Struthio camelus: one gene and its partners. The protein of the gene in region 4 purifies or fractionates together with the protein of the main gene of each other region. This does not show direct contact. Links are inferred from orthologs where the notes say so. Each region holds a gene or a part of one and is shown on either strand. Other genes may lie near its edges.

Region 1 (7,878 bases), on a different chromosome or scaffold from region 4:
TCACACAGCCTTTGATAGATCTGCTATTTGGGCTGAAAGACATACCCAGGCAGCTCAGGCCCCTCCCCTCGCCCTATTACCATTTAAAGTAAAACAGATGCTCTAGTCAGCTTCTCTTCAGAGCCATAGATGCAAGCACTTAAGAGAGGTCTGTCTGTGTCACACACACTTACTGTCTCTTCAATGCTAGGCTTCCATGGGAAAGAAGAAAGGTTTCCTTTCTGGGCACCCTAAGTCAGGACAGGTGCTTGCTGTTCAGTTTTGCAATCATATGCAGTCTTTTCCAACTTCTTGCTCTTTCACATCCACCTTTTTCAGGGTATCCCTATTACAGCATGCTTTCTCACTGCCAAATGAGCCAATCTTGCGACTTTCTAGCAGAAAGCCTGAGGCAGCCACACATTGCTGTATTACCCCTCATGTTGGAGGTTCAGTTTCAGGCCAAATTGCTTATTATACACATAAGCTACTTAATTTCTAATGAAAGAAAGATCTAGCTCCCACCGGTCAAGTCAAGACAGCCTAAACTCCCCCATGAAGCCTTCTGCATCCTAGTCAGGAAAGCTTTCTAAGGCTTCTTTGATGAACTAGAGCAGCCAGAGGACTTATCAACCTCCCCCCCCATATTTATCTCTTAGATGATCTCGTACAGTGCCTGTTCCTTCCAAGTTACTGCTATCAGTTAAACCACCCAGTAGCCTGAAATACATTACACTGGGATACTGAGCTTGATGTATGGTGGTGGCGTGTGGTGGTGGGGAACGCTCCTCAGTCCCCTTTCACAAATAACTGCCCTTTCAGCTGCATTCACAGTTCTGCTACTCACGTCAATGTTGCCACTGCTATACAGCACTGCCTGACACTGTGCTGTCCTGATCGATATTTGAACAGCACTTCAGAAATGCAGAACAACTGTAAGCAGCAAGCACCATCAAGCAATCTTGGTTTGGACTGGGGAACAATCGTGGTATCCCTGTGTCTCTAGGAACCTTGCAGTTATGCTGTCTTCATGGAAGCAGAGAAATTATGAGTTTTGCCAGGAAAGAGTCTGGAGCAGGAAGAAAATCTATTCCCCGTCAATTGTGCAACATCTAGGAGCAAGTATTTGGAGGGGAAGAGACCCTAAACCCCTTACAAATAAAAACTAAAAACCCACACAGAGAAACTGCTGTTTCGTCCAAACAAAATCAGAGCAACCCAAGAGGTGTTTCTGCTCCCCACACTGCAAAGTTTGCTACTGTGATCAAAAGCCAGAGTATTGACTTCTGCTTCCAAGAGCCTTCAAATACTTATTTTTAATTCAAAAAATACAATCTGAATTAAGGAGTTCATTTCATTGTGGGTTATAATATAGAAAGCTAAAAGGAAACAAAGTGCCGAAACAACTCCTCACTCAAGTATCTAGAAACTGCTGCACAGCAGCCTGGGAGACTTTATCACACCAATTAACCGGAGGGACACGATAAAGTCTTGAATGATCATCTTCCCCAGTCCATCAAGTCTTATCACATTCTCACTGGTACTAATAAGCAAATGAGCACTAATAAGCAGGGCCTTTTAGCCTGTCACCTCCCCCTGGCGCCTCATGCCTCCAGAAGTCTAAAGTACTCTTATAACGGCCAAAAAGATATTAGAGCAGCCACGCTTTCAAGCCGAGCTCCAAAAGGGCAGCCCACTAACATCACTACCAGAGCACATTTCTGTTCCCATGCTGACAAGAAAACTGACAGGCTAACCTTCAGCTTGGAGCATGCTTTCACCAACAGCACGCGCAAAGAAAAGGAGGGCTTATCACCCCAAAACTGTAGGCGAGAGGTTTCCTACAGGATAAGCTCCGGCAAACTTCTGCCTCATGCCAGGAGGAGGCATCGCTCAGCTTTCAAGAACAGCACCCAACTCCCACCCTCTGCTCGGCCCACGCAGAAAGAAACCACGCAGGGGGTGAACGCAAGGCGAACGCGACAAGCCTGGGCCGATGAGATTTGGGAGACTTATTCCTAAGAGCTCAGCCTTAAAAAACGAAACCTATTTATAGGCGCCTATTTATAATATACCCTAACCGCTAGCTTCAACTTTTAAATAAGTATTTCCTCCACCCTTTCCTCCCCACCCCCGGCTTTCCCCGGGGCAGAAACGCCAAGTGCTGCCCGGCACCGCGAACCACGTCTTAGCCCTCCCCCACGGCCTCCCAGGCGGGCGGGGCCCGCCGTCTGCCGGGGCCTTCGTGCCGCCTCCTCTCCCCCCCCCCCCCCCCCCAATCTCCGTTACTTCCTCTCACGGAGCACGCGGCCCGCCCCTGGGGCGCTCGGCACCACCCTCCAACGGCCGCGGCAGCCGTTGGCGCCCGCTAGAGCGCCGGCCGCTCCCCCGCCGCTGCCGCCACCACCGGCGTCAGCGGCACCAAGCCGGCTCCCCGCCCGCCTCCCAACCCGGCACGGACCCGGCCGGCGGGGCATGGAGGGGGGAGGGAGGGTAGCCGCAGCCAGGCGGCCGCCCGCTCTGCCCCGGCCGAGCCCGCCCGCGGACCCCGGCGGCGGCGGCTCCTTGAACGTCCCACTCCCGGCCGCACAGCCCACGCCCCGGGCACGCGCCGCGCCGCGCCCCGCTCCGCCCCGCCGCGGCTCGCGCCGCGCCCCAGGGGCGCCAGCCCGCCGCCGCTCCGCGCCCCTGCTCCCGGCGGCCGCCCCTGCTCACCCCTTTGCCCATGGTGCCGGGCGGCTGCGTGCGGGGCCCGCGGGTGCTACTAGCGAGGTGCGGGGGCTCAGCGGCGCCACGTGTCCCGGCCGGCGGCAGGTGCGGAACAATAGCGGCAGCGCTCCGCCCGCCCGCCGCTCCGTCGTCCTCCTCCCGCCGCCGCTGCTGCTGCTGCTGCTACCGCCTCGCCTTCCTCTCCCCCCGCCCCCCGTGCCCCCGCCGGCGATAGCTCCTCGCCCCTGCTGCAGCCACCCGCAGCTCCGAGCGCGGCCGGCTTCCCGCCGCATAAAGAGCCCTCTCCGCACCGCCCCGTCGCGTCGCGCCGCGCCCCGCCCCTCGCGGGCGCCCAGCCAGGAGAAAGGAGGAGGAGGAGGAGGAAGGGGGAGCGGGATCGCTGCCAGCGGGCCCGGCCCCTCCCGCCGGCCGCGGCTGCCCCTTGGGGCTCACCTTGGCTGCCCCGGCCGCCGCTCCCGGGGGGCCCCCGGCAGCCGGGGGCGCGGCGGGCAGAGGGGCGCGCAAGAAAGCGAAAGCGGTGCGGCGGGTGGGGAGGAGGGAGGGGGCGGCCGGCGGGGGGCGCTGCGGCCCGGCCGCCGCCGCCCCGCGCGGGGCCTCTCGCGGGGCCGCCGCCGGCGCCATGTCGGGTTGGGTCGGGCTGCGCCGGGCCGGGCCGGGCCGGGCTGGGGAGGGGTGGCTGTGTTCCTGCCAGCTGCCCCGGCTTTCCCGTGAAATCTGAAGAGATTGACGTAATTTATCGCTAATGGCCGTTATTCACCGTCAGTGGCAACTGCGTGGTGACAGGAGCCTCCAAGGTCACGATAGGAACCAGCCGTCCTGTATCCTTTACGTTAAGTAAACATTGAATCGCTCCCCGGCGCTTGAGAGCCGCAGGTTGAAAGAGCCTTGCGTTAGAAGTCCAACCGCTCTCCGCTGATATCCCGACAGGACATCAAAAAGCACCACAGGGAAGATAAGCCAGAGAGTTTCCCCTGAAAAACGCAACCCTAGAGGCATGGGGGCTTGATTTGTCCTGCTTGAGTGGGAGCACGCCGAGGGGAGCCGTGGGCTTCCCCACGCCACCGCTCTTCCCCTCTCTGGTTTCCGTGGGGCCGCGCGGAGGGCTGCGTGCCTCACAGCTGCTTGCCATCGCTGGCCTGCAACCGGGCTGGACCCAGAGGAGCGGGACGTGTTCGGTTCCAGCCCCCGCAGCTTGTCGTGGAGCATGCGAATTTTAGCAAAGCATGTTCTGGTTTGGATATCTGGGGTGACGTTTTTTGCCGCGAGGCTGGCGCCGCGCTGAGGCACCGTGCCCAGAGAGGCTGGTGTGTGCAGGTGTGTCCTTGCAGGTGTCACAGTCTGCCTGGACCAGGTTCTGGGCAACCCCGTCTAACTTTGAAGCCAGCCCTGCTCTGAGGATTCAAGACCTCAGGAAGGCCCTTTCCAACCAAGTCATTCTCTGCTTCTCTGCTATCACATTGGGTGCTTGGTAGGCTTGGGTTACGTGTTGCCTGAAATGCTTCAGACTTGCTAAGCTGAGGTTAAAGCTCATCCTGTATGCCAGTAGATGTGAATAAACTTGACAAAAATAGCTCTAAAGGCTTTAAAGTTCAGTAATTACTACAAATTGTGATCAGGACTCAGCAAAGAGTTACGGGAGAGATTTCTGTGCCCTGTATTGCTCAGGAAGCATGACTAGGTGATCCTCATGGTTCCTTTTATACATAAAAATCTGAGAAAAGTTGATGGATGCCAAAGTTGCTACTCTGTGCCTGTGATCAGTTTGCTTTTTAATTCTGTCTTCATACACAAAGAAAACAAGCATCTGCTCTTTTTTTTTTCATGACAGCTTAACAGAGCCTACAGGACCTGGTATGAGCTGTGAAATACCCAGGGGACCCCACCGCGGAGGTGTTTCAGTAGCCTCTTCCCCATGGGAGGGTTTCCCTGCCGATGGCCCCAAACACACTGGATTAGCTGTTGGGGTGCTGAGAACATTTTTGGAGAGAAGAGCTTACATTCAAGTAGTTAAGCACCATGCTAGTAAGCAGGGGCTAAAACCCCCCTCAGCAGAAGACAACTTCAGCCTTTCAGGTCCTGGGTGAGAGCTTTGTGATCAACCTGTTTGCTAACAGACCCTTGTATGCAAGGGGTAGGGATGCCACTACAACCATCTCCTTGCTGGTTGTGTCTCAAAAGAAGATGGGAGGCTCCACAGCATTTGTGAAGCTTGGTCCTTCACTCTGCATTAGACCTGCTTTGACATTTCACACCTGAGTCCATGCAGACAAATGTACACTATGTTTTGGGATTCCAGCTGGGCTTACGAGTGGCTTTGCCTGCTCGGTACTGAGGCACTTCTGAGACTGAACGCAGTGAACTTCAAAGTAGAAACTTTAGAGTGGTGAGCTCAGATGCAATTTTAGAGGGCAAGGAAGCAGGTTTTTTTCGAGTCCCGTTTTTAGCGTTCTGCCTAAGATCCGTTTTGTGCTGCTGGTGGTCTTTATTGGACCTGGCACTGTTTTGACAGACTTGGAGACAGAAGCTTTCCATTTACCTAGAAAACACATGGCGCCTGGGCAGCAGTCTCCCTCCCAAGCTGCACCATCTTGACCCCAAGGCAGAGCTCTCATTTAGCTCTCATTACTCATCTTTGAGGCTTTCTTTTAAGACTTCCCATAAAGGGCTAGATCTTGCCAGCTGCAGGGAGAGGTATTAGGAACCGGTTGGGAATTTCTGAACTGAAATCACCTACTCATTTCATTTTCACTCCTTACCAAACTTCAGTTTCTTTCAATGTAGCTGTGAGGCATCTTCCGTATGACATTTTAAAAAACCCCTCCAAACAACTTCCAATACATTTTGCCCCTTGAAGTGAAACAGCTTATGGCCTGAACAGTATAGCTGAGTTGGAGCAGTGTAAATTTGATCCATCATTTGCTTTGGGATACTCGACGCGTTGCCATTTCTTCATCATGTGAAACCGTCATGTGCAACGGTGGTGTTGTAAACTTACACCTACGACTTCTTTCAGGAGAAAAGCGTATCCCAGTTCTCTTACTGGCGGTGATTTAAAGTAAGAGCAAATCCCTAGGGGCCAAAGGAAAATTCATTGTGTAAAACCAGGCATAGAGGGTAAAGTACTTGTATTCTCCTCCTGAAACAGGTGTAAGAGGGATTAGCTTAAGAAAAAATAGGAAAGCTCTGGTTTCAGTATCTACAAGCAATTACAAACTCTTTTTGATAACGCTGGCAGGGTGGCTGAGAGAAGTAGGGATAACACTCAGGGAACTTCACTCCTGCCACTGGATTAAATCCAGCCGGGTTTTAACACCTGAACATTCTTGCTTGTGTGTCCTGCTCAATTCAGGCTGGGAGTAATTGTGAATCTTTTTTGAAGATTTGATGCAATATGCTTTTTTTCCTTCTGACTGTTCGTTGTTTTTGGCGCAGTTGTGGGCTGCTCAAATTCCAGGGGTAGGTAGTGCTAGATGCAATGAATGGAGATAGGCATTATGAAAACAGTGCAAGGCATTATGTGAATGCCTACTGCTGTTATTAATAGCATGTACATCATACAGTCCTTCTGTAGCATTTTTTACTTTGGGAACCTGAGAGTGTTTTACACCAGGGAGTTTTATTATGCCCATATTAAGGATGGGAAAGCAGAGTCACAGTGAGAAGGTGGTAGGCGTGTAGAATAGCTTCAGCAGATTCTAGGTAAAGAGTCCAAGGATCAGAAAGCCCTTTGCTCTTGCTGCTGGATATAGCAGCTTCCACTCAGGCTTATTCCTGCTTTCGCTAACAAGCGGCATGTAGCTGAACACAGAAAAGCAAATCTTCTTTGCCCCTTTGCAGCTGCCACAGCCTAGGGCTGCATTTGCTGGGAAAGCTAGGACGTTAGATCCCCGTAATGGATTCTACCTAGAATAGGAAAGAATCCCATCTCCCGCCTAGTATTGCTTTCTATGGCATCCCCTGTCTCCACCAGCATTTTGCATGTATTGTAGCGAGCGCCACACTTTGGCCTTCACCTTGAAAAGCTTCTTCTTTAGTGGCAATTAGGTTTGTGGACATTGGAGCATTTTCCCTCTGGACAATGCAGTGCCATTCACTTCAGAGGTGACATGCTCCTGCAGCTCCTACTTCCTCAGCAAAACAAGGGAATGCAGCTGGACCCAAATAAGCTGTTTTTCCTCAGCCACTTGTCCCTTATCTCTAGAGTCTCTAGAGGATGAAGTTACCTACAGCGCACTAAAGCAGGCAACAAAAGCAGCCGCCGTGCGGATAAGGTGAGATGAGTTCCACCATGAGGCCTCTATATAAATGAGGTTTAAAAAGGCATCCAAAAGGGATTCAGGCTTTTTAAAGGGTAATTCACTTACCAGGGGACACAGAGAACACAAGGTGATTGTATGTAACTGTATTTCTATCGACCTTCCAGCTGTAATTACAGGTCTCACACTCCCTGCTGGCTTGTCTCCTGGCTTTAATGAGATCACCTTAGGAGATAAGGCTAGGATACCATTAAAATGACCGGGGAGAGCAATATCTAACTATGGGGTGAACAAAGATCAAGATCCACTACATCTAGTCAGGCTTGGCTGAGTTTCTTCATGTACTTTTTCCCTCCCTCTGGCTGATGGATACAAACATTTTGCGTTGTTGACAATATTTCACATTTTTCTGAAGCCTTTCAAGTAAATCCTTCAAATACTGTTGCAAAAACATTACAATGGATCCTTAATGGCCCTTTGAAAATTAAGTCTCTGTCCTTTGCCATTGCACATAAATGGTATAACCTTCATTCAAAGTCACGGCATTGTGGGTTGCAGAGGCGAAGAGCAAAAATATCAAGCATTCCAGTCATTTTGAGTGCTTTAGTGTTGTGCTTATACAAAATTCCTAGGCACTTGCTGCTTCTGTAGGTGGGAACTTCAATTGCTCAGCCTTTCTCAATAGTAAGTTCAAAGTGTCTCAGCCTGAGAACTTCAAAACTGTTTTTTTCTTGTTTTACTGAAGAGGAATCAGAGGTTTACTACAGTCATGCAGCAAAGTAGATCAAAGGATGAAATTGAGAAGAGCTTGGTCCCTGCTCTAACTGCTAGACTAAGGGTTTAAAACTGCTGGGTCACAAATTCCCGAAGACTACTTGTAGGGGGGACCCTGTGAAAACAAGGAAAGCGAAGC
Region 2 (6,963 bases), on a different chromosome or scaffold from region 4:
AAATGGCGCTGAGCCAGACGTGGACACCAGTGGGTGGTGGTCTGAATGGGTTACAGAGGCTGGGTGGCTTTGACTTAATCTGTGAGAAGGCAAACCAGCTGTCATCGGGGAGTGCAGATGGACAGCTGTGTTTCAGATCGCTTGCATTAAAAAAAAAAAAAAAGAAAATGAATTGGAGTGTAACATATAACCATCCCCACTGGTTGTTACTGGGCTCCCCCGTTACCACCTGCTGCCAGACAGAGCACGCTTGTTCTCCCTCCAGCTCTCACTGCAGAGGGGATTTGTTTCCTCTTCTGTTCTAGGCTGTAGTCTTGATTGCAAGTGAAAACTGCACTCTTGGCTTCCCTCCAGAGTTACAACCCAGTTTCCAGGACTTGTTGAAAAAAGAAAAAAACAAAAAACCAAACACCCAGCCAACCTTCCATAAAATTTAATCTCTTCTCTGATCATGAAAGGCACCTTTTTAACGTATCAAGACTGACTTTTGATGTCATGCCAATACTGCTATTGTTTTCTTGGCATTGTTAATTTGAGTAACTTTCAATTAAATCTTTGACAGAAAAATAGCTTTCAGTTGTGTATTCCCTACAAATACATCATTTTAATTCATCAGATATTGAATAATTGTTTTTCATTAAAACAGCAGTCTGAGCCCAGGTAAAACATCTGTTTATAGCGTGGTTATATAGATGGCTTATTTTAATAATGTATAAACATTTAAAATAAAAAGAATTAGAACATAATGTCCAGGTTCTGTTAATGTTTGACAAGGACTGTTCAACATCTGCTAAGTTTTGGTGAGGGGCTCCGAGCAAAGGAGCTAGCACTGAAGGGATATGTAATCTGACAGTCAAATTTGTAAGTAAATAGGCAGTTCCACTTATGCATCCATATATATATATTTGTATATGGCCATGTGTGTATGTATGTATATATTAAAATGATTGATAGAACTTTCTCCATCCAATTTCTGTTCAGCTCTTAGAGATTTTGAATGACGGATTTTAATAGGCTTTCTTAGTTCTCTTGTAAGGCTGTTAAAGACTCGCTCACTGTTGTTTAAAGCGATCTGAGGGTCACCGTTATTCTATTCTATCCCAGTTCAAATTTAGTAATACTAAAGGGGAGGGTTTTATGTTTTAAATTTAAATTAATTCCATCAGCATTCTTATAATTATTTGTGGCTTTGGTCCAGCTTCTCCATGCCTTCCCAAGGCATACCTGGGTTCTCAAAGGTATTTTACTAAGTACGGTAATATTGATAAAATTAAGTGAGGTCTTTTGAAATGCAAATATGCCCCCCCACACCCCGTGGATTTCTGTTCTGCTTAGATTCTTCAAAAGATTCCTGATTAATGATCAATTTCAAATAAATCTTAGTAACTAAAGACATAGCCCAAAAGAACCGAGTCTGGACTGGCGTTTTCCCTTTAAACTTAGAATCTGAGTGCGAGTCTGGAGCCTGACCTTATGGCTGAAGCTCATATGCAGTCGAATGTGTTGAGCCAATACAGTGACTTAAGCTGCTTTCGAATCATTCCCCTCTGACAAAAGCAAGTGAATGAGGATTGAACAAATTAATTCAAAGATGCCAAATTGCAGACAGTCTTAATTGTACATAATCTAATGTAATGACAGTCTCGGGCCGTGACTACAGGTTCCTGGTATTCTCCCTCCTAACTTGTTCCTGCCTCTTCCCCGAGGGGGAAGGTGCATTGTGTTTGTTTTTTTGAACTGAATCATTTCAGAAATCTGGCCGAGAGCACGGCCACGCAGGCAGCGAACTGGAAGAGCTGCCGGGGTCCACCCGCGATAAGGGCAGAGGAGGTGGGAAGGAGCGCCTGGGCGAGCCCCGCGCACGGGACGAAACGTCCCACGGCCTTAGATGTGGGTCCGCAGGGACTGCCAGGAGCCGGGGAGCTCAACGGCGGATGAAAATCAGACATGAGGGTCACACCTGGTCACACCTGGACCTGCCTAAGCTCTTCAGGTATTTGGGTATGGAGTGAAGTTTTCATCCAGATGGTATTAATAGAAATACGCTGACTTCTGCGGCGAATGGGACTGACCCATGCTGCTTTAATTCAGCGGTGAGGAAAAGAGGGCCTGGCTTGGCCGTGTGGAAACGACCTTCACCAGCTGGTGGTATCTACCAGAGAAATGTCTGTTGGTGGTCGTCTTTTAGTACTCAGCCACTGCTTTAATTAAGGGTTTTACTTGAGCTGGGCCTGAGGAAGAAGATAGATGTTGGGATCTGGTTGTTAGCAAATGCAATATTTACGTATTTTTATTTCAGTATGTAAGTCTTTTCATTTAATGGGTAATAACATTCTATAGATAACCTAGGGATGGATAAAAATATAAAACAGCTTAACGGAGAAAAAAAAAGCAGATGTGTTAAGAGCATTTTGTTCCCTTTTCCTCATTTGCAAGCCTCTTCATGGTTCTCAGCTCTTGACTGCAATGGGTTTTTTAGCCTCTGCTGTGATTATATCAACGTACCTGATGCAAAACCGCCGGTGTAGATATGCTGCCATTATCTACGTGATGACCAGGGCAGCGAAGGCAGCAAATATGGCTTGAAAATGCAGGGTGTTGACAGCAAGGAGGGAAATCACCGTGCACGGGGCACACTGTGGAGTGTGGAGAGTCCCGTGACAGAGGTTTTCTTGTTGGCCTGTTTGTTTGTGTTTCGCTTAGAGGATGAGCTGGAGAGAAGGCCAATAAACACAGCCAGCAAGCAAGGTGCTGTCAGGCAGAGGGCACAAAAAATGGTGCTGAGTCACATATTGTCCTCTGGGCAAGGATGTCAGTCGTTACCGGTCAGGGTGGCGTCTGAAGTGAGGGCTGCTCTGCCTCAGTGTCTGGTGTTCAGCTGTGCAAACAGGCACGCTGCGTACGCCGCTGCCCCAGGTATTTACTCACACACCTACAGCTGTGCTAGTAACGCTTTAATTAAGCAGGAGCCAACCCCTATTGGAGCCAACAGGATTTTGGCTCAAGTGAGAGGGATGTAATTTTGCTTTTTAGTTAATGTGTATTGCATATAATTGAACCTGCTGCAGGAGAGAAAGGCTGATCTTAAGCCGATAATTCCTTGTTTAGATGTGACTTAAAATAACTAGCTTTGGGGAGCAGCGCTGATAGCAAGGAGAAGTGGTCTCCTGCCAGGACCATCAGCAAGCTGCAGAGAGCCCGGGAACTGTCACTTTGACTAACCTCGGAGGCCCCTTATCCCAGCCTTTCATCACCCGGTGAACGGCTGAATAAAACCCAACAGCAAGAGCTGGCCGGAGCCAACAAGAACTGAAGAGCTGCGGTGGGCTGGGAACTCTTCTTCCCGTCTAATTTCAGCAGAAGCAATCTGCCACCCAAGTAGGGGAGAATTCAGTTAACAGAGCTAAGGGGCAGCGAACACAGTCGTGTGGACATGATCATTAAGCCTGGTAGGAAGAGGGGCTATTATCTCAATTAGCGCCCGTGAAATGGAATACAGATGCACCAGCTTCCAACTGTTTACCAAATATATCCAGCTTCCTGTGGATACACACTTGTTTGGCCGTTCAGGTTGTCACAGCTAGTTCTTACTGTTACATTTTGAAGTCTTAGCTGACGATGGAAAAACAAAAGCAAGCCGGGAGGAGGTGTCACTGAAAGCGGGTGAAGAATCCTGGCGCTGTAGGCAGTGCTGCCGGTGTGAACAGCACGCCGTGCGCTGACAAGCTGGTAAAATGCATCTCTCTCAGTCATCCTCACGGGTCTGGCCATAACTATGCTTTTAGTTACAGGGCACCACAAGTATGCATGTTGTTTTTCAAGTATGAAAAGCTCTTTTGCCTGTAGTTGGAGTCTCTGATACCTCTAAACTTTGTTCCTAGTCTGGTGCAACTGTTCGAGGTTTGTGTTGCATGTGCCACAACAAGCGATGAAAGTAAATAAGGCGGAGGGCAAAGGGGACGGAGAGCAGGGGTTACAGCAGCTCGGTCAGAGCTTTTGGGTTGTGCTCTGGGAACAGCCTGGGATGGGTAAGTTGTTCACGGGGACTGCATTTCTCGCAGGGGAGGGAAAAAACTGGCAGGAGATGAAGCAGAATTTTCAGGGGACCCAAAAAATTTAGTTAAGCAGGAGAATTACCTGCTTGTTGGCCTCTTCTTTCCCTGGCACCGGTTTTGTTGCGTTCCTTTGAAAGAGATATTGTTGAAATACAGCATCTTTCTCTTGAAATTGCCAGTTTGCAGTTTTACTGTCTGCATTGTCAAGGACACGCTGTAATCATCAGTTCCTCCTCTAGCATGCTGTGTTATGTGTGCGAGTGCTACTCCACAGCTGGCACAAAGGTTACTTATTTTAGACTTAAGCGAGTCAATTCCCACGTTATTATAGCATATATGTATTTCCTAAATCAAGGACTGGGTTCTGCAGACAAAAAGTGTTTCTTGAAAGCCACGTTGTTAGTGTAAAATTTAAAAAAATCATTACTTGCACCATGGAAAAATCTATGTTTTTAGTAGTAAATCTAAGATTGCATTCTTTACATTCTGGATTCTGAGCCTGTAAATCTTTCAGACTTTGTTTGTACAAGCACTGAAATCTTAGGTTTTTTTAAAAATAAAAACTAATTTTTCTTATATCCCTAACTCTAGTAAATGAAAATTAGGAGAAATACAGGTTCCCACAAGGCTCACTGTGATGCCTAGCAGTGCTGTGAAAGTGTTGCTTTTCAGCAGGTTGGGAGATGATGCGGTATCTTAGGATTAGGAGCTTGACGATTTAGTATTTCTCCAGATGGAAGATACTTACTAGTAGCATAAAAAACTACTCAATAAGGGTGATGAGGTGCAATCTGTTCCATATTGCATGATTCTTTGTGTACTTGCAGAATAGCACTAAGCAACTTCTAAAATCGGACTGAAAGCTGGATTTTCTCTTGAATAAAAATGACTGTTCTTTTCATGGGGTAATTACTGTCTTGTTGATTGTTACCTTCAGTGCTGTGGACTGAGAAAGAGCTGGGTAATAAATAAGTAATAAATAAGTAATAAATAAGTCTAATAAATAAGTAATAAATAAGTCTAAAGAGGTTTATGTACTGATGTTGCAAACTGTTAGATAAAGACAGATATAAAGATAGACCAGTGTATCTTTTTTTTTAAATGAGTTTTGTCCTTTGAAATGGTCACAGGAAACTTAATATTGCTATACAAACTGGTATCCCTTACACAAGAAGAATAAGGAGATATGAGCTGAATGCCCTTTATTACTATCATCAAAGTAAGTTTCTTAATAAATATTAGTTCTCAACGTTTTTTATCATACTTTCCTTGGCTTGGCAGGAACAATGCAAATGACACCTAATGACAGTTCTTCTAGCTGCTCCTATCCCAAAGGCATCCAGGTTTCAAACAGTGATTAGATATTCCACAATATACTTTCAGTAACTTCATTTATTACTCACTATTATATTACTATTATATTCACTATTATTATTCACTATTTATTATCACTGTTAATTACAATACCACCGGAGTAGTATTGCTGTCTATTACTAACTTACAAAGAACCTTGAAAAAATAGTTGATCAAATTTATCTGAAGAATACTTTATGGTAAAACAGCCCTTTCGTTTACACACGTTTCTAACGCATCAGCGTGCTACAAGACTGATTGCTCTTATTACTTTAGCATAATAGTTAGTATCTAATTTTAAGAGCCTAATGACTTATAAATGTCACACCCCAAGATTTTACATTGATGCATATTTTGAAGATAGTAATAAAACTGTTATTTAGGCCTCCAAAAACATAGTTCATTTCTACCTGTTTCCTTAAGAGGCAACTATTGCCCAACCGCCCCCAGGCAACAGCAGTACCTTGCTCCCATGAAAACTCATGCTGTTGGCTGTGTTAAAGTCCCGTTCTGGAGGAAAAAGGAGGTGACTCAGGATATGCAATTGAGTTTTGTAATCTTTCAGAATGGTCTTCCAGGAGCAAAACAGGTTGTGTGAGAACACGGCCTTGATGAGCTGTGCTAATTACAACGTCTGGTTTAAAATTCCAGGCTTTTGTCTAAACCTGAGAAATGGGTGAGACAAACTGCCTTCCAAAACAACCTAAATACATTAAACCAAGTACAGATATACTGTAAAATTTTTACAGAGAATAACTATTTCTAAGGTGATCACTAGCTAAATGAAGTTTAGTTTTCCCCGCGTTGTCATAATCATGAAAGCGTAATATATTAACAACACACATTTTTGTTTATGGAAGGTCTCTGTGAATAGCAGTACTATCATGTTGTAGGATGACAACTGCCCGCATAGGAACACAATGGTCCTTGTCCACTCTGAGTATATTATGTCCTTTCAATGCTTAATTGGCTAGCAAAGACAAGTCCAAAATATAAGTTGTGAGTTGTTTATAGTTTGAGAGGATGAAGTCATGTTCCTTGTCTTCTTGCCAAAGGTAATGAATGTTTGGATCAGGGTTAGAATTTCCTGGCATGGGTTGTCTCCAGAAAGGTCCAGAATACAGTATTTAGGAGGAAATACCGCTCATGTTTTAAACTGGATCCATTTCAAGACTTAGGACTTCTCTGAGTTATGATGTTCTCCTTCGAATGTGATAGTTTTTTTGTTTCCTAAGGGAAGGGTTTAGAGGAACAATCCCTTTAAAATATTAACTGCATGTAAAAAAAAATTGTTTTTAGTTTTTTACATATATTCACAGATATTCTACTTTCATTTTGTGAACATGCTCATGCCTTGGAAATACCAGAAGAGATAAGGAGTACATAATGCAGTATTTGAAGAACATAAATAAGATCCATTAGTTGATCAAGCAAGCGGTCTGTAGTAATGCAGATCGTGATGTTCAGGTGTCCTCATTTATGTGCTGTTAAGATAGCATGATTGTAGTCTTCCTCATGAGCTGGCTTCCTTAATCTTAATCCTTCTAATCCTTAG
Region 3 (6,921 bases), on a different chromosome or scaffold from region 4:
CACTCAGATTAACAGACACTGTTAACTCAATTCCAAGCTTAACCAGGAACTGAGCAGGACCACAGAATTAGCATTAGAGCTGCTGAGCTTGCCCCCAGCCATGCTTGGACACATGCTGGAGACATGCAGAAGACTGGCTAGAGGCCAGTGGCTACGCTTCACTTTAACCTAGCAAAAAAGTCTCCCTGCTCAGCTGTAGGCAACTGTGGCTTCCCCGACACTTTGCAGAGGACACACCTCCACCTCCTATATCCTCCATACCTGCTCAGGGACCAGACCAACATATTTGCAGTTCTAGCCCAGGGTCATTTCACAGACTAAGCTCTTAAGGATCAACAGGCTTAGCCAAGCAAGCTCAGAGCTACCTCCTCCTGGAATACTTGTTTCAAAGCACAGATTACATTCAAAGGCTGGACTCACGGTTGCATGTGTTCCCTTCCCTCCCCCCTCCACCAAGTAACATAATAGAATGTTGATTGTCTTGATAGGCATCAAATCAGCTTCCTCAGCAGTACTTCCTCCTGGAACATTGTTCAAGGCTCACCCCCCTCCCTATCACTTTTTCAGCTTCCTGAAAGACTCAAGACATCGTAGCACTCAAACGATAACCCTCACCAGCACTCAACTGCTTTCTTAAGCCACCTCCACATCATAGGCAGGCAGCTACAGTGAAGTCTGTAGCTCAGAGTCACAACCCACAGAGTAATATCTAAGTGTTTTGGATTTGTTCTCTCCTGTGAGACTGATATGGACTCCACTGGATCGTGCTTCTGTTGCTGCAGTACTGTCAGCCCACCAACTTGAGACAAACGAGGGGAAAGGGGGTCTTACCAAGCTGGAAATTGCTGCTCTGGCATGGTCCATTGCTTTCTGGAGGAGCACCCACCAACTTGACCAAAGCCCTAGAAGTTTAGAAGGCAATACATCAAGTCAGGCTGCTCCCCTCCCACCACAGAAGAGGTCCAAGTCAGTCACCGTTATGAGTAGGATGCTTGTCCAGAACCATTATGTGCATGCTTCTATGTAAGTCACGACAGTTGCAGTCGGTCTATATCAAGCTCATCAATTACCCTTGAAATACAACCTGTAAGTTCAAATACTCCCACTGCAGATATAAGTTCAGATGGACAAGCTGAATCTTTTTGCTGAGCACTGGGAAGAGGGAAAGAGGGAGAAAAAGGAGGAACACAATCTCAAATGCCTAAATTCAGCCAAGGGTCTTATTAACGTTAAGGCCACCACCTTTTAGGGGGAGCTGGCAAAAGGCAGCTGCTCAGTGGTGACAAAGGACACTACTTAGCAAAGCAGCCTGTGGGGTCTGTTTCAATGACAGTATCAAGACAAGAGCTTGCCTGGTAGCCAGAAGTAGCACAATGCTGTAAGCTGAAGCAGCACAAATTCCCACTCTACAGAAACTCTTTCAACTATAAGGCCGCCTATAGACGGCTATGTTCTTTCTCTCTTTATGAGAGCAATTTCAGTATTTGGACAGTTTCCCTGACTAGTCAAGAGCAACTGTCAAGGCACAAAAAGCATTTCAGTGACTTCTATAGTTTGGATTTTTCTGGATTGTGGGCTTATCTGAAAGACAGAGCAGAACCTGAGTTACTTTAGCTTAAACATTTTTTCCTGGAAAGATATTTGATGAAGCTTTGCAAATTAGTGCCTAGACATTGAGGCACTGTGACAGCTGGCTAAGTTGAGAGCATATAACTTGCGCAGTTTCCTAGCAGCGCTACTCTAGGATATGATCTGTGAGTTTAAGCCTGGCAGAGCATTTGAACTGGTCTTCAGATGCACGTGGATTACTTTTACACCTGGGAGCTCTGAAGTATAATCAGGTTATCAGGAGCAGAGATGATCAAAGGTTAATGGTGGCCATCCATTGTTTCACCTTTTGCTTAGAGCAAGAGTACATGCAGATAAACCTCCTGGCAGCTTTCAGAAACCTGCCCCGATTGACAGTCAGGGGCCCAGGCACTCGCACAGCACTCGGAGCACAACAACAGGGCTGTGCACAGCCCCTGCAATGGACAGGGAGGGGAGCCCTCTAGAAGCAAAGTCAGATACCCGAGGGGAAGACTTCACCAAAGCTTCAGCGGGGCTGCCTTCCCGTCAGGAGGGGGACACATCAGCAGCGCGCGAGCACAGCACATACATGCTTTGCAGAAATCGCAGCGAGACCTTCCGCAGCCATCTCCAGCGGCTCACCACCCCCCTCCCCCGCCGGGGGGGGGCGGCGCCTCGGGGATATCACGGGCCCAGGGGCCACCGCTCCTCCCGCGGAGCCGAGCCGGGGGCTGGCCGCCCCGGAGGCGCTCAGCATCCCCCCGCCCCCGGCAAGGGAACAAGCAGAGCAGCGACCGCCCGGCCTCCTGGAACCGCGGGAGGGCAGGGCCCGGCTGCGGGGCCCCAGATAAGAAGACCCGGCGATATCCCGCCGCTGAGGGCACGTCTCGCCCCGCTCCGGCACGGCGGGGACGGCCGGGCCTGCGGCAACGGCCTCCCCCTGACGGCGCGGCCCGGGGCTCTCCCCGCGGCGCGGCGCGGCCCAGCCCGCCCTCAAGGTCAGGCGGACATGGCAGCCGCGGCGGCGGCCACGTGCGCGCCCGCCCCGCCGCCAAGCGGGGCCCGCCGGGGCTGCCGCGCCGCGACCCCCCCCCCTCCCGACCCGGCACGGCCCGCGCCGCCCGCCCGCCCCCCCCGAGGCTCGCCCTGCACGCACCGCACGTCGGCAGGAGCCCTCCGGTGGTCGGAGCCCGCAGGAGCCCGCGGCCACCGCCTCGCCTCGCCTCGCCTCGCCGCCCCTCCCCCTCCTCCTCCTTCCCCAACGGTCCGCGCCGGCGCGCGCGCGCGCGCGCTGCCGCCACCGCCGCCCCTCACGCGGCTCCGCTCCCCGCCTCACCCTGTCTCACCTCGCCGTAGCCCGACTGCCGCAGCGCCTGCCGAGGCGCCGCTCTTCCCCGCCACGGCGCGCCCCGCCCCCCGCCGCGCCCTCAGCCAATCGGCGCCCACCGTGCGGCCGCAGGCGCTCCCCCTCTCTGCCCTCCGCGCGCGCGCGCTTTGCCCCCCCCCCGTGCCCCTCCCTCCCCCTCCCGCTGTGGCTGCGCTTCGGCGCTCTGAGGGGGATTAAAGGGGCTCTGAGGGGGTTAAAGGGGCTCTGAGGGGGGGTTAAAGGGGCTCTGAGGGGGTTAAAGTGGCTCTGAGGGGGGGTTAAAGGGGCTCTGAGGGGGGTTAAAGGGGCTCTGGGAGGGTTAAAGGGGCTCTGGGGGGCTCAGTCCGGATCCGCGAGGCGGGACTGTGAGGGTAACGGCGGGTGCGGTGCGGGCCTTCCCCCCGCCCACCTCGGTGCGCAGCCCTTTGGCCCGACGGTGGCAGGTGGCCTGTGCCCTGGCGAGGTGCCCTGTGGAGAAAGCTCGCTCCTGCGAAAGGCGGGAGCCTGCTGCGCCGAGCGGGGCACCCAGGCGGCAGCCGGGCCAAGCTGCGGCACGCTCGGGCTCCCTGCTGCTTGCCGGGGGCCTGGGGCACAGGCTGCAAGCTGAGGCAGGCAGGGGCGGAAGCGCTTCTTGCCGCCTTTCTGCTTTGTGGCGGGAGGTGAGGCTCCCTGCGAGCTCGGGCTTTGAAACGAAAGCACTGCATGGCCCCATTGCAGCAAGGGCAGCGGGAGCAAGGTTAAAGCCGCTCTGTATTATCTTCCCCTTCCCACGTGCCTTGCAGCAGAGTTAATCGCATTTTCACTCAGGGGAGTTTTCATCACAGGCGCTTTTAGGGGAGCTCTCAAACAGCAGGGCTGTGCTGATCCGTCAAGTGGTAATTTATGCAAAAATAAAGAAGAAATTACAAGATTTTTGAATGAGGGGCAGTTAAATACCCGTACGGACCAAAATAAGGATGAGAGCAAGAAGGGGAGCGTGCGGCTCGGTGACTAGAGCCTCCTTCGCCCAGGCCCACAGCACGCTGGCTATAGGGCCAAAGTTACACCTGGGAGGGGGGGCTAATGTCCCTGCAGCCCCTCTCAGGGGCCTCATTGAGACGCTCATAATCCCCTTTTGGGGGTTAGATGACAATTTTTATTTACATCAGCGCTTAAACGGCTGGAGGGTGGCCTGCATCTTGTCCATGATGCTTACAGGAGTGGCACTGAAGGGATTAGGTCGTTGAGAGCATATTTACAGGCTGTATTTGGGGACTCGGACCCTGGGAGCATCTGAAGTGGCCTAAGGGCATTAGGGCACCTGTCTTGGGTGAAGGGGTAGAGCTCAATCTCCAAAAGGGAGCAGGTGCAAACTTGTATGCGTCCCTGTTTTATTTTTAAGGAACCTGGACGAATTAGAATGTGTCGGTCATCTGACAAAATAAAGATTTGGTAAACATTTTTCTTTCTGAATGATTCATAAGAAGAAGCAACACGTAAGGAGAGAGAGAGAGAACTTAGTGATTTTAGGGTGAAAATGGGAAACAGTATAGTGGGGGGAATTTGAGAAACCCATAAACCACACGTGCTGTTGGCAGTTTTATCTCCAGTTGTCAGTTTGATGCCAGGTTAAGCCTCAGTGGGTGGTGAAAGCAATAACTCCAGGAGCAATGAGGAACTTCAACAAGCAAAGTAACTGGAAACGCAAACAGATCATTCAGCCAAAACATGTCACGAGGACAGCCTGAACTGCTGACTGTGAGTGGTGGGGGGGGGGCATCACGCCACCCTACCAGCATCACTAGGGTGCCGGCAGGCTCCCCTGTATGTGATGGGGGCATGTTCCCACTCCCCCCGACCGCGCTTGGTCCTGTGGGGTCCTAGAGTGCCGTAAATGCTGAGCTAGGACAGGTTGCAGGAGAGCAGGAGCAGCCCCGGGGTGGGGGGAAGCCTGAGGTCAGAGAGACCAGGATGCTCAGCTCAGTGCCCTTGCTGAGAACTAGCTGATCCCACTGGCTGGGAAGGAAGGGAGATTAGTGAGCAAGCCCTGGAGAGGCGAGTGGAGAGCTCTGCACCACGGCACAGCCAGGTCCCAGCTGCGGCCCCGCTTCCCAGGGGCTCTGCAGAGGTGCTCTTTCTGGCGCTGGTCCCCGAGGACTGCCAGGGCTGTGATATTTACCTTTCTTCCTTTCTGCTGAAGGTTAATCTCATAAAGACCCTGCACTTTCCTGGGCATCTGCCTGGACCCTGCAGAACATCTCATCCTCATTGGACACATGCTGACATTTCATCTCTTCAGAGTTGCCCACGGTCACGAACAGGCCTTGGCTACAACTGCAGTCTCCTCTTCCTTGTCTGCCAGTGCTCTAGCATGAGTTGAGGTTACTGCTTCCCGTCTGTCATTGAATTCAGGGAGCCGCTCAAAGGAGTGTTGGTATCGGGTAGTGCTTCCAGATTTTGGTGTGCGCGTGTTCTGTGATGCTCCATTCATTTTTCCCTTGCTCAGTAAAGAAATAAGCTGGTACGCCTGGGTTATTACCTCAAATCCTCTCCAGGGAAAGCAGGATGGGAGCAGAAAGTTTAGTTTGGTATAACCCATGATTGCAAAGAGGATTATGTTTCGTGAAAAGAAATACATTCCTGCGTTGGTAAAGGGGGGGATTAACTAGATCTGAAACTTGATGTGGCTGTCTGGAGATAAGTCTCCCCTAAAACGGGGCCCAGGCGCGCTGACAAGATGTACGCGTGGACCAGCGTTCAGTTTTCTGGAGAAGGTTAGACCCAGGCTCTAGCGTAAATGGGCTCAGAAAGGGGTTAGATCATTCCTGGAGGATGGATACCCTGGTGGCTTTTAAACACAAAAGTCTGGATGCAGCCTGCTGCTCAGCCTCCAGCGGCTCTGACCCCTGGAGAAAGTAATCAAAGTAGAGCAGAGCAGAGCAGAGCAGCATTTGACTACCAAGGCCCGACAGGAGGAGTTTACACCCACAGCAGAACTCAGTCAGGCGCAGGAGATCCCAGATAACGGTGCTGAAATGCAAGCTTGTAAAGGGAAACTCCAATTTCTTTCTCTCCATGTCCTTCTTCAGCTTTCGTCTCTATTCCTTCTAGCAGAGCAGCTGCTATGTGCCACGTGGTACCAGCCCTAAACTCCCTTGACAAATACTCACTGCAGGTGTTTTCTGTTCTCTCTCGGAATATGTTTGGCCATGTGTTGTGCATTTCCACATTTTTACACCTGCCAGGAAAAGAGAAGAAAGCTGGTGCTTTAGAAACTCAGATATTTTTGCACCAGAGCTAGCTATGGTGAAATACCTTTAAAAAGACCATCCTTCAAATGCAACATGGTACCCATGGATGGAGGACTGCTGGCTTCTGATCCAGTACAGCTGAGGTAAAGTGGTCCAGTAAGATGCATGGACCCTCTGTATTTGATTATGGCACAGTTTAGGTCCATAATAATCAGGAGCCACTGCCAGTTCCCAAAGTCCGTGAAAAAAGCAGGAACTTTGAGTGTTTAAACTCTGAATCTGGCTGCTGCAGACTGTTGTTTGAGCCCTGCTGTGTCATGCTGTGCATATTTGCAGCTTGCCCTGAATTGTTTGCTTCTGCCCATTCTACTCCTTGCCTGGCCCATCTCTTGCTTGTGGTATTGCGTAGGGGCCTCCATGCTCGTTGCTCGTCTTGGCATCCTACTTTAGACTGGCTTCCGTCAGGTTGTTCCTCTTCGTTGTGGCTTGGCTCTGATATTTTAGATGTTTGTCACTGTTTTCTCTGAATTTCTGGGGTGCTTGTGACTCCCCTGACTTGGGCTCAGATGACTCCATGTTGCCTTTGGGCAATACTCCAGCATGCGATGCTGTCCCTCCTGCAGGACTAATGTTGAAACATGAGCCCAAAATGTGGGGGCAATTTCACTTCAATGTCAGAGTGGCTGACACTCATGTGACCAGCTGTCCTACCCACATTTTAGGAAGGCAGTTAAAAAGTAGAGAGAAAACAAAAGC
Region 4 (8,013 bases):
TGCCCTCCCACACGGGCGGGCTGAGAGCCAGGGCCACAGCAGACAGGAACGGGGCCACAGCGCAGGGCCACGGGCTCCCCCGCAGCAGCGGCCCCTGCAGCCCTCCGGCACGTCACGGAGCACCTCCTGCTGCTCCGGGGCACCCAAGCTGGCTCGGACAGGCCTGATCCCTCTCACAGGGGCAACGTATCAGTCACCACTGACCAGGGATCCCTTCAGCTTGCAGGGCCCTGCAATAGCCCCAGAGGTATTCAAGGTCCCCGTGAGAAGGGAGAGACGACGTGGGCTAAGAGGGGACCCCTGAAGGCAGCAGGGAGGAAGCAGGGAATGGCTTCTTGCCACTGTCCTGCCCTCCCCGGGCAAAGCGTCACAGCACAGGCGCCTGCGGCAGCAGGGAAGGTGCCATGCGGCTCACCCAGGCGAAGGTGATGCACGTGTGGTACATGGGCGAGGAAGGCGGGACGGAGGCTTTGTAGCGGTGCAGCATCACAAAGCTGGCGAGGCCATTGAGGAAGGAGGCGAAGGCAGACGCGGGCTCCTGGAAGAACAGGAAGCGAGAGAAGGGCCACTAGAACAAAAAAGAGGAGGGAGACGGACGACAGAGACGTTAGCGGTGTGGATCGCACTATTCCGCTGGCCACGGCTCTCAGCAGCTGCTGGCACAGGCCTCGCAGACGTGGGAGCCGGGCTCTGGCTGGGGATCAGCACCCCCATCGCGGGGGGCCCCCCCCATGGGACTCAGGCCCTGATGCTGGAGCGGCCCCGAGGCGTCTCGAGCACGCCTGGCGCCGCGGGAAGAGGGAGCCCCTGGGTGGTGCAGCGGCTGAAGGCACGGGATGGGGGAGGACAGCCTGGTGCGCGGGGCGGCCCCGGGCCTCGGGGGCACGTTTCCCGCATGCGCGCACGGCGCTGGGCGCCGGCCCGGCTCACCTTGCCGTGGAACTGAGGCACTTTGTAGCCGCCCTGGACGTAGACCTGCACCGTGAGCCACATGCACTCGTACTTGCAGTCGTCTCGGCAGGTCCAGCCTGCAGCGGCGGGAGAGGAGCTGGCGGCCAGCACAGGCCTCCGAGGACGGGGAAGGGTCCCTCGGGGGCTCAGCCCTTCCCGGGTACCCCGTCCCCAGTCACAGAGCCCCCTCCAGTCAATCCCAGTGCAGACACCGGTGTGACCGTTAGGCAGCGCAGCCTGACCACCACCGCAGCTGGGGGCTCTGGGGCCCAGCTCGAGGCAAGGAGAAGCCCACTGGGGGTTGCCCTGCCCAGTTGGGGAGATCCCCACTGTCTTGGGCACAGGCAGGGGCAATGTCCAGGCTCCAGTCTTCCCCAGTATGCTCCAGTGCCCCCCAGCAAAGCCCAGCACAGCCCAGTGCCCCCCAGCATACCCCAGTGCCTCCTCAGTATAGCCCAGTGCACCCCAGCATGGTGCTGCACCCACCAGTAGCACTCAATGTCTTTCCACAATGGTTCAGCACTGCCCTGCAGTCCCCAGCACAGCCCCAGCATGGCAGAGCACCCCCTAGCATGGCCCCAGTAAGGCCCAGTGACGCCCAGCATGCCCCTAGTATGGCCCAGCAAACCTCGGCACGGCCCAGCGTCCCCCAGTATCCCCCCAGCATGGCCCAGTGTTCCCCAGCATGGTGCCAGGATGGCCCAATGACCTCCAGCACGGCCCAGTGCCCCCCAGCACGGCCCAGTGACCCTCAGCATGCTTCCAGGATGGCCCAGTGTCCCTCAGCATGGCCTAGTGTCCCCCCAGTATGGCCCAGTGACCCCCAGCATGCCCCCAGTATGGCCTAGTGTCCCTCAGCATGGCCCAGTGTCCCCCCAGCATGGCCCAGTGAGCCCCAGCATGCCCCCAGTATGGCCTAGTGTCCCTCAGCATGGCCCAGTGTCCCCCCAGCATGGCCCAGTGAGCCCCAGCATGCTTCCAGGATGGTCCAGTGCCCTCCAGCATGGCCCAGTGACCCCCAGTATGCCTCCAGGATGGCCCAGTGTCCCCTAGTGTCCCCCCAGTATGGCCCAGTGACCCCCAGCATGCCCCCAGTATGGCCTAGTGTCCCTCAGCATGGCCCACTGTCCCCCAGTGTCCCCCCAGTATGGCCCAGTGACCCCCAGCATGCTTCCAGGATGGCCTAATGACCTCCAGCATGGGCCAGTGCCCTCCAGCATGGCCCAGTGACCCCCAGCATGCTTCCAGGACGGCCCAGTGACCTCCAGCATGGCCCAATGACCCCCAGCATGCCCCTAGTATGGCCTAGTGTCCCCCAGTATGGCCCAACGACCTCCAGTATGGCCCAGTGATCCTCTAGTACGGCCCGGTGGGGCCCCACAGCCCCGAGGCCGCTCGCCCGCCCCGTGCGAGGGAGGGGGCGGAGCTTCCGAGGGGCGGGACCTCGGCAGGAGGCGTGGCCTCGCCGCGCCCAGCCAATGGGTGCGCGGGGCGGGCCCGGCCGTACCTGTGAGGCTCATGTAGAGCGGCTGGCGGGCGCGGAAGTGCCGCAGCGCCGCCCCGGAGCAGTTGCGCCGCTCGCAGCTGGCCAGGCAGTCCCGGTACAGCGGCTCCCGGTCGCCCTGCGAGCCGCGAGCCGGGCCTGGCGCCGCCGCCGCCCCCAGCAGCAGCAGGAGCGCGGCCCGAGCGGCCCCCCGAGCCGCCATGGCCGCCCGGCCCCGCCGTTTCCGGCCGCTGCCCCGGAAATGGCGTAGTGCCGCGGAGCACCACGGGATATAGCGCCCCCTCCCCAATGGCGCCGCGGAGCACCACGGGATATAGCCCCCCCCCAAAATGGCTGGGGAGTATAAGGGATATAGCGCCCCGCGTTGGCCGGGGAGGATCACGGGATATAGCGCCCCACTGTGGCCGCGGAGGATCACGGGATATAGCGCCCACCGCAACGGCTGGGGCCATCAGGGGTTATAGCGCCCCCCGATGGCCGTGGAGGATCACGGGATATAGCGCCCCACTGTGGCCGCGGAGGATCACGGGATATAGCGCCCACCGCAACGGCCGGGGGCATCAGGGGTTATAGCGCCCCGCGATGGCCGCGGAGGATCACGGGATATACCGCCCCACTGGGGCCGCGGAGGATCACGGGATATAGCGCTCCGCCGGGGGGGGGGGTCACAGGGCCGGGGTCAGCGCCATGGCCGGCCCCAGGGCCTGGTGGCTCCCGCCGCCCCCTCGTGCCCCAGACGGTCCCGGGTTGGGGACAGGCGTCAGCTCCAGGCCACCTCGGCAGAGACCCACCACCTGCTGCCAGGCTGTCCCCCTGTCCCCATGCCCTAGGACTGGCCCCACACCCCAGGGCTGTCCCCATAGCCTCGGATTGTCCCCCTGTCCCCAGAACTGTCCCCACGTCCTAGGACTGTCCCCACATCCTAGGATTGTCCCCATGCCCCAGGACTGTCCCCATAGCCCAGCACTGTCCCCCTACCCCAGGAATGTCCCCATGCCCCAGGGTTGTCCCCCTGTCCCCATACCCCAAGGCTATCCCTGTGTCCCCATGTCCTAGCATTGTCCCCCTACCCCAGGCCTGTCCCCATACTCCAGCACTGTCCCCGTGTCCCCACACCCCAGCACTGTCCCCCCGCCCCAGCACTGTCCCCCTGCCCCAGCACTGTCCCCGTGTCCCCCCGCCCCAGCACTGTCCCCACACCCCAGGAATGTCCCCATGCCCCAGCACTGTCCCCGTGTCCCCCTGCCCCAGCACTGTCCCCCCACCCCAGCGCTGTCCCCATGTCCCTACACCTCAGCACTGTCCCCCCACCCCAGCGCTGTCCCCATGTCCCCACACCCCAGCACTGTCCCCACACCCCAGCGCTGTCCCCGTGTCCCCACACCCCAGCACTGTCCCCCTGCCCCAGCGCTGTCCCTGTACCCCAGCACTGTCCCCGTGTCCCCCCGCCCCAGCACTGTGCTCCTGCCCCAGCACTGTCCCTGTACCCCAGCACTGTCCCCGTGTCTCCCTGCCCCAGGGCTGTCCCCGTGTCCCCACACCCCAGCACTGTCCCCATACCCCAGCGCTGTCCCCGTGTCCCCCTGCCCCAGCGCTGTCCCCGTGTCCCCACACCCCAGCACTGTCCCCATACCCCAGCGCTGTCCCCGTGTCCCCCTGCCCCAGCGCTGTCCCTGTACCCCAGCACTGTCCCCCTGCCCCAGCGCTGCCCCCATGTCCCCACACCCCAGCACTGTCCCCCTGCCCCAGCGCTGTCCCCATGTCCCCGTACCCCAGCACTGTCCCCGTACCCCAGCACTGTCCCCGTGTCCCCCTGCCCCAGCGCTGTCCTCCCGCCCCAGCATTGTCCCTGTACCCCAGCACTGTCCCCGTGTCCCCCTGCCCCAGCGCTGTCCCCGTACCCCAGCACTGTCCCCGTGTCCCCCTGCCCCAGCGCTGTCCTCCCGCCCCAGCATTGTCCCTGTACCCCAGCACTGTCCCCGTGTCCCCCTGCCCCAGCGCTGTCCCCGTGTCCGCACACCCCAGCACTGTCCCCGTACCCCAGCGCTGTCCCCGTGTCCCCACACCCCAGCACTGTCCCCCTGCCCCAGCGCTGTCCCCGTGTCCGCACACCCCAGCACTGTCCCCGTACCCCAGCGCTGTCCCCGTGTCCCCACACCCCAGCACTGTCCCCACACCCCAGCACTGTCCCCGTACCCCAGCGCTGTCCCCGTGTCCCCCCGCCCCAGCACTGTCCCCCTGCCCCAGCGCTGTCCCCGTACCCCAGCACTGTCCCCGTGTCCCCACACCCCAGCACTGTCCCCCTGCCCCAGCGCTGTCCCTGTACCCCAGCACTGTCCCCGTACCCCAGCGCTGTCCCCGTGTCCCCCCGCCCCACGACCGCCCCCCCAGCGCCCCGCGGTGCCCCCCGCGCTCTCCCCCCGCCCCCCCAGGAGCGCCCGGGCCGGGGGCGACGCCGGCGGTGGCAGCGGCGGTGCCCGGGGCAGCGGCGGCGGGAGCGCGCGCGGGGGCGGCGGCGGGAGCGCGCGGCGCGGCCCCGCGAGGCGGAGCCCGGGAGCGCGGCGGGAGGAGGCGGCGGCGGCGGCGGCGGCGGCGGCGGCGGCGGCGGCGGCTCCGCGCCGCAAACTTTGGCGGAGCGGCCGGCGCGGGGGCCATGGGCCGCGGCCCGCGCTGAGCACCATGATCGCCGCCGGCGGCTGCTACCTCGGCACCGGGCTGCTCCTGGCCGCCCTCTGCCCCGCCGCCGCCGCCGAAGGTGGGTGCGCCGCTGCCGGGGCCGCCGGGGACACCGGGGACACCGGGCCGGGGCCGGGTCCCCCCCCCCTCCCTCCCCTCCCTCCGCCGGCGGCAGCCGGACTCGGCGCAAAGTTGAGCGCGGGGCGCGATCGGGGGCGGCTCGGGGTGGGGGGGGGGGTGTCGCGGCAGGGTGTCCCGGGGGGGGGACAAGGGGGGTCCCGTCGAGCCTGGGGGGGGGGCAAGGGGGTCCCGCTGATCCCGGGGGGGGGCAAAGGGGGTCCCGTCGAGCCCCGGGGGGGGCAAGGGGGTCCCGCTGATCCCGGGAGGGGGGGGCAAAGGGGGTCCCGTCGAGCCCCGGGGGGGGCAAAGGGGTCCCGCTGATCCCGGGGGGGGGCAAAGGGGGTCCCGTCGAGCCCCGGGGGGGGCAAGGGGGTCCCGCTGATCCCGGGGGGGGGGGAAGGGGGTCCCGTCGAGCCCCGGGGGGGGCAAGGGGGGGATCCCACCAAGCTCGGGATGGGGGGGGGACAAGGGGGTCCCGCTGATCCCAGGAGTTGGGGGACAAGGGGGGTCCCACCGAGCCCCGGGGGGGGGAGACAAGGGGGTCCCACTGAGCCCGAAAAGGGGGACAAGGGGGTCCCGTCGAGCCTGGGGGGGACAAGGGGGATCCTGCTGATCCCAAGAGCTGGGGGGCAAGGGGGGTCCCGCCGAGCCCAGAGTTGGGGGGGGTGAAGGGGAGCAGAGACGGGGTAAGGAGCACCCCCCCCCCCAGCCAAAGGAGGGGGGTCCCGGGGCGGGGGGCGCGAGGGGAGGTTGAGGCCGGGGGGGGGGTTCTCGTCGCCGCCCCGGGGCCGACGTCGCCCCGCGCCGTACGGCCAGACCCGCCACCCCGGCGGGAAACGCCGGCCGCCCCTCGACGCCGCGGGGCACGCGGACCGGGGCCGGCGGCGACGGGGACGGGACCCGCTCGCCGGCAGGCGTCGACGGCACCCGCCGGCCCTTGGCACCCCCCCCCCCCCCCCCCGGCGCGGCGCCCGCCCCAGACCTTGAGCTTCGGACCCGACGCTCGCTGCCAGGCGGCGCGGGGAGGAGGGACGAGATGGCGGCCGTGTCGTCCCCCCCCCCCCCCCCCAACAGGGCAGCTGCCGGGCCACCGGGCCGCTGTCACTCAGCCGCCGGCCGCTCGTCCGGCCTCCCCTCCCCGCTCGGCCTCCGCCGCCCTCCGGCCCTGCCTCGGTTTCCCCGCGGCGTCCAGGCCGCGCCGTGGGCCGCCCCCCCCCCTGCCTCCCCACCATCCAACCCCCGTTGTCCCTAGCAGACGGATGCCATGCCGGGCCGCCGGCCTGGCCCCCACCGAGCGGCCTCGACGGGGAAACCGAGGCCCCCGGCGGCGGGATGGCGGCGGCCCGGCCCGCCCCTGCGTCAGCCGCTCGCTCCCCAAACATGCCCGACCTGAAAAGGCGGTTCCTGCCGGGGCGAGCCGCGCCGCCGCCGCCGGCCGCGGGGGCCCCGTGCCACCCCGCCGGCCGTGACTCAGCCGCCCGGCCCAGGGCGGGCACCCGTGGCACGACGGCGCCAGTTCTCAGCTCACCACCCCCCCCCCCCCAAAACCGGTGCTGCTGTTTTTGCCCGGGGAGGGGGTGTGTTGGGGGGGGGGGGTGTCCCCAAGCAGTGTCCCCACCGCGAGCCCCACGGCCGGAGTGGACACCCTGCTCGCTCCGGGAGGGGGCCGGAGGCCGCCGGCGGGGCCGGCCGGGGGCTCCCGGCATCCGCCGCCGCTCAACAATCGGGTCTTGTCTCGGCGCTCCCCCCTCCCCGGCCGGCGTGGGCAGAGCCTTCCCGCTCCCGCCCGGCCCCGGCGAATCCCGGCGTTGGCGGGAACGTCGGCCCGGGGAGCCCCGCGGCTCCCCGACGCCTGCCCCAGGCTGGCCCCCGCCGCCCCGCTCCCACCTCCCCGGACCGGTTCCCCAGCCCGGCTCGGCCCCGGTGGGGTGCTGGGTCCCCCCCCCCCCACCCCGGGGTGCTGTTGTCCCTGGGGTGGGGACGGCCACGCGGGACGGTGGTGGTGGTGGGGGGGGGGGAGCGGCGGTGCCGGAAGCTTATAGGAAGCTGTTGGAAGCGGCTCCGGAGATCGCTGGCGGCGGCGGTGGCCTCCGCGGCATTTCCTGCGGAGGCCGGCGCTGCCGGCTCGCGTTCCCGCCGGTGCCAGCGCCGCGCTGACGTCCCGCTCTGTCCCCGCAGTGTGCACCGGCACCGACATGAAGCTGCTGCGTCCCTCCAGCCCCGAGAGCCACTACGAGACGCTGCGGCACCTCTACCAGGGCTGCCGGGTGGTGCAGGGCAACCTGGAGCTCACCTACCTGGCCCCCGACGCCGACACCGCCTTCCTCCAGGTGAGCGGGTCGGGGACGCCCCGAAGCGGTGGCACGGCCGGGACCCCCCCCCCGCCACTGCCGGGGACCCTCACGCGCCGCCCCTCCGCCCCGCGCAGGACATCAAGGAGGTGCAGGGCTACGTGCTCATCGCGGAGAACCGGGTGAGCCGCCTGGAGCTGCGGAGCCTGCGCATCATCCGGGGCACGCAGCTCTTCGAGGAGCGCTACGCCCTGGCCGTGCTGGGCAACGCCGGCCCCGCCGGCACCCCGGGCCTCGGCCAGCTCGGCATGAGGCACCTCACAGGTGGGCAGCGCGGCGCGGCCTGCTCCCCGGGATGCTTGGGGGGGGCGGTGGTCCCTCTTCGGGGTTGGATGCTCAGGTTGGGTGTCCCCATGGGGCTACCAGTCCCCCCAGCGGTCCCTGCCCGGGGCTGGGTGTCCCCTCTGGTCC

What was found.
Region 1: the proteins of ERBB2 (region 4) and ATP1A1 purify together in Homo sapiens (affinity purification with mass spectrometry; 4 studies listed by BioGRID and IntAct, with this or other methods). This does not show direct contact. The link is inferred for Struthio camelus from reciprocal best matches to the Homo sapiens genes ERBB2 and ATP1A1.
Region 2: the proteins of ERBB2 (region 4) and ACSL3 purify together in Homo sapiens (affinity purification with mass spectrometry; 3 studies listed by BioGRID and IntAct, with this or other methods). This does not show direct contact. The link is inferred for Struthio camelus from reciprocal best matches to the Homo sapiens genes ERBB2 and ACSL3.
Region 3: the proteins of ERBB2 (region 4) and TFRC purify together in Homo sapiens (affinity purification with mass spectrometry; 3 studies listed by BioGRID and IntAct, with this or other methods). This does not show direct contact. The link is inferred for Struthio camelus from reciprocal best matches to the Homo sapiens genes ERBB2 and TFRC.

The regions. Positions count from the first base shown.
Region 1 is NC_090942.1:93,474,284-93,482,161, forward strand, and holds the start of ATP1A1 (sodium/potassium-transporting ATPase subunit alpha-1), read right to left. Parts: upstream 3,007-7,878; 5' UTR 2,707-3,006; coding exon 2,695-2,706; intron 1-2,694. UniProt on the Homo sapiens protein: This is the catalytic component of the active enzyme, which catalyzes the hydrolysis of ATP coupled with the exchange of sodium and potassium ions across the plasma membrane.
Region 2 is NC_090950.1:12,443,856-12,450,818, forward strand, and holds the start of ACSL3 (fatty acid CoA ligase Acsl3), read left to right. Parts: upstream 1-3,955; 5' UTR 3,956-4,028; intron 4,029-6,963. UniProt on the Homo sapiens protein: Acyl-CoA synthetases (ACSL) activates long-chain fatty acids for both synthesis of cellular lipids, and degradation via beta-oxidation.
Region 3 is NC_090950.1:21,219,488-21,226,408, reverse strand, and holds the start of TFRC (transferrin receptor protein 1), read right to left. Parts: upstream 3,008-6,921; 5' UTR 2,916-3,007; exon of another isoform or gene 2,906-2,915; intron 2,851-2,905; exon of another isoform or gene 2,726-2,850; intron 903-2,725; 5' UTR 865-902; coding exon 832-864; intron 1-831. UniProt on the Homo sapiens protein: Cellular uptake of iron occurs via receptor-mediated endocytosis of ligand-occupied transferrin receptor into specialized endosomes. Endosomal acidification leads to iron release.
Region 4 is NC_090966.1:6,625,718-6,633,730, forward strand, and holds the start of ERBB2 (receptor tyrosine-protein kinase erbB-2), read left to right. Parts: upstream 1-4,998; 5' UTR 4,999-5,134; coding exon 5,135-5,210; intron 5,211-7,429; coding exon 7,430-7,581; intron 7,582-7,679; coding exon 7,680-7,866; intron 7,867-8,013. Other genes in the region: PGAP3 (post-GPI attachment to proteins factor 3), read right to left, coding at 416-568, 931-1,048, 2,459-2,907. UniProt on the Homo sapiens protein: Protein tyrosine kinase that is part of several cell surface receptor complexes, but that apparently needs a coreceptor for ligand binding. Essential component of a neuregulin-receptor complex, although neuregulins do not interact with it alone.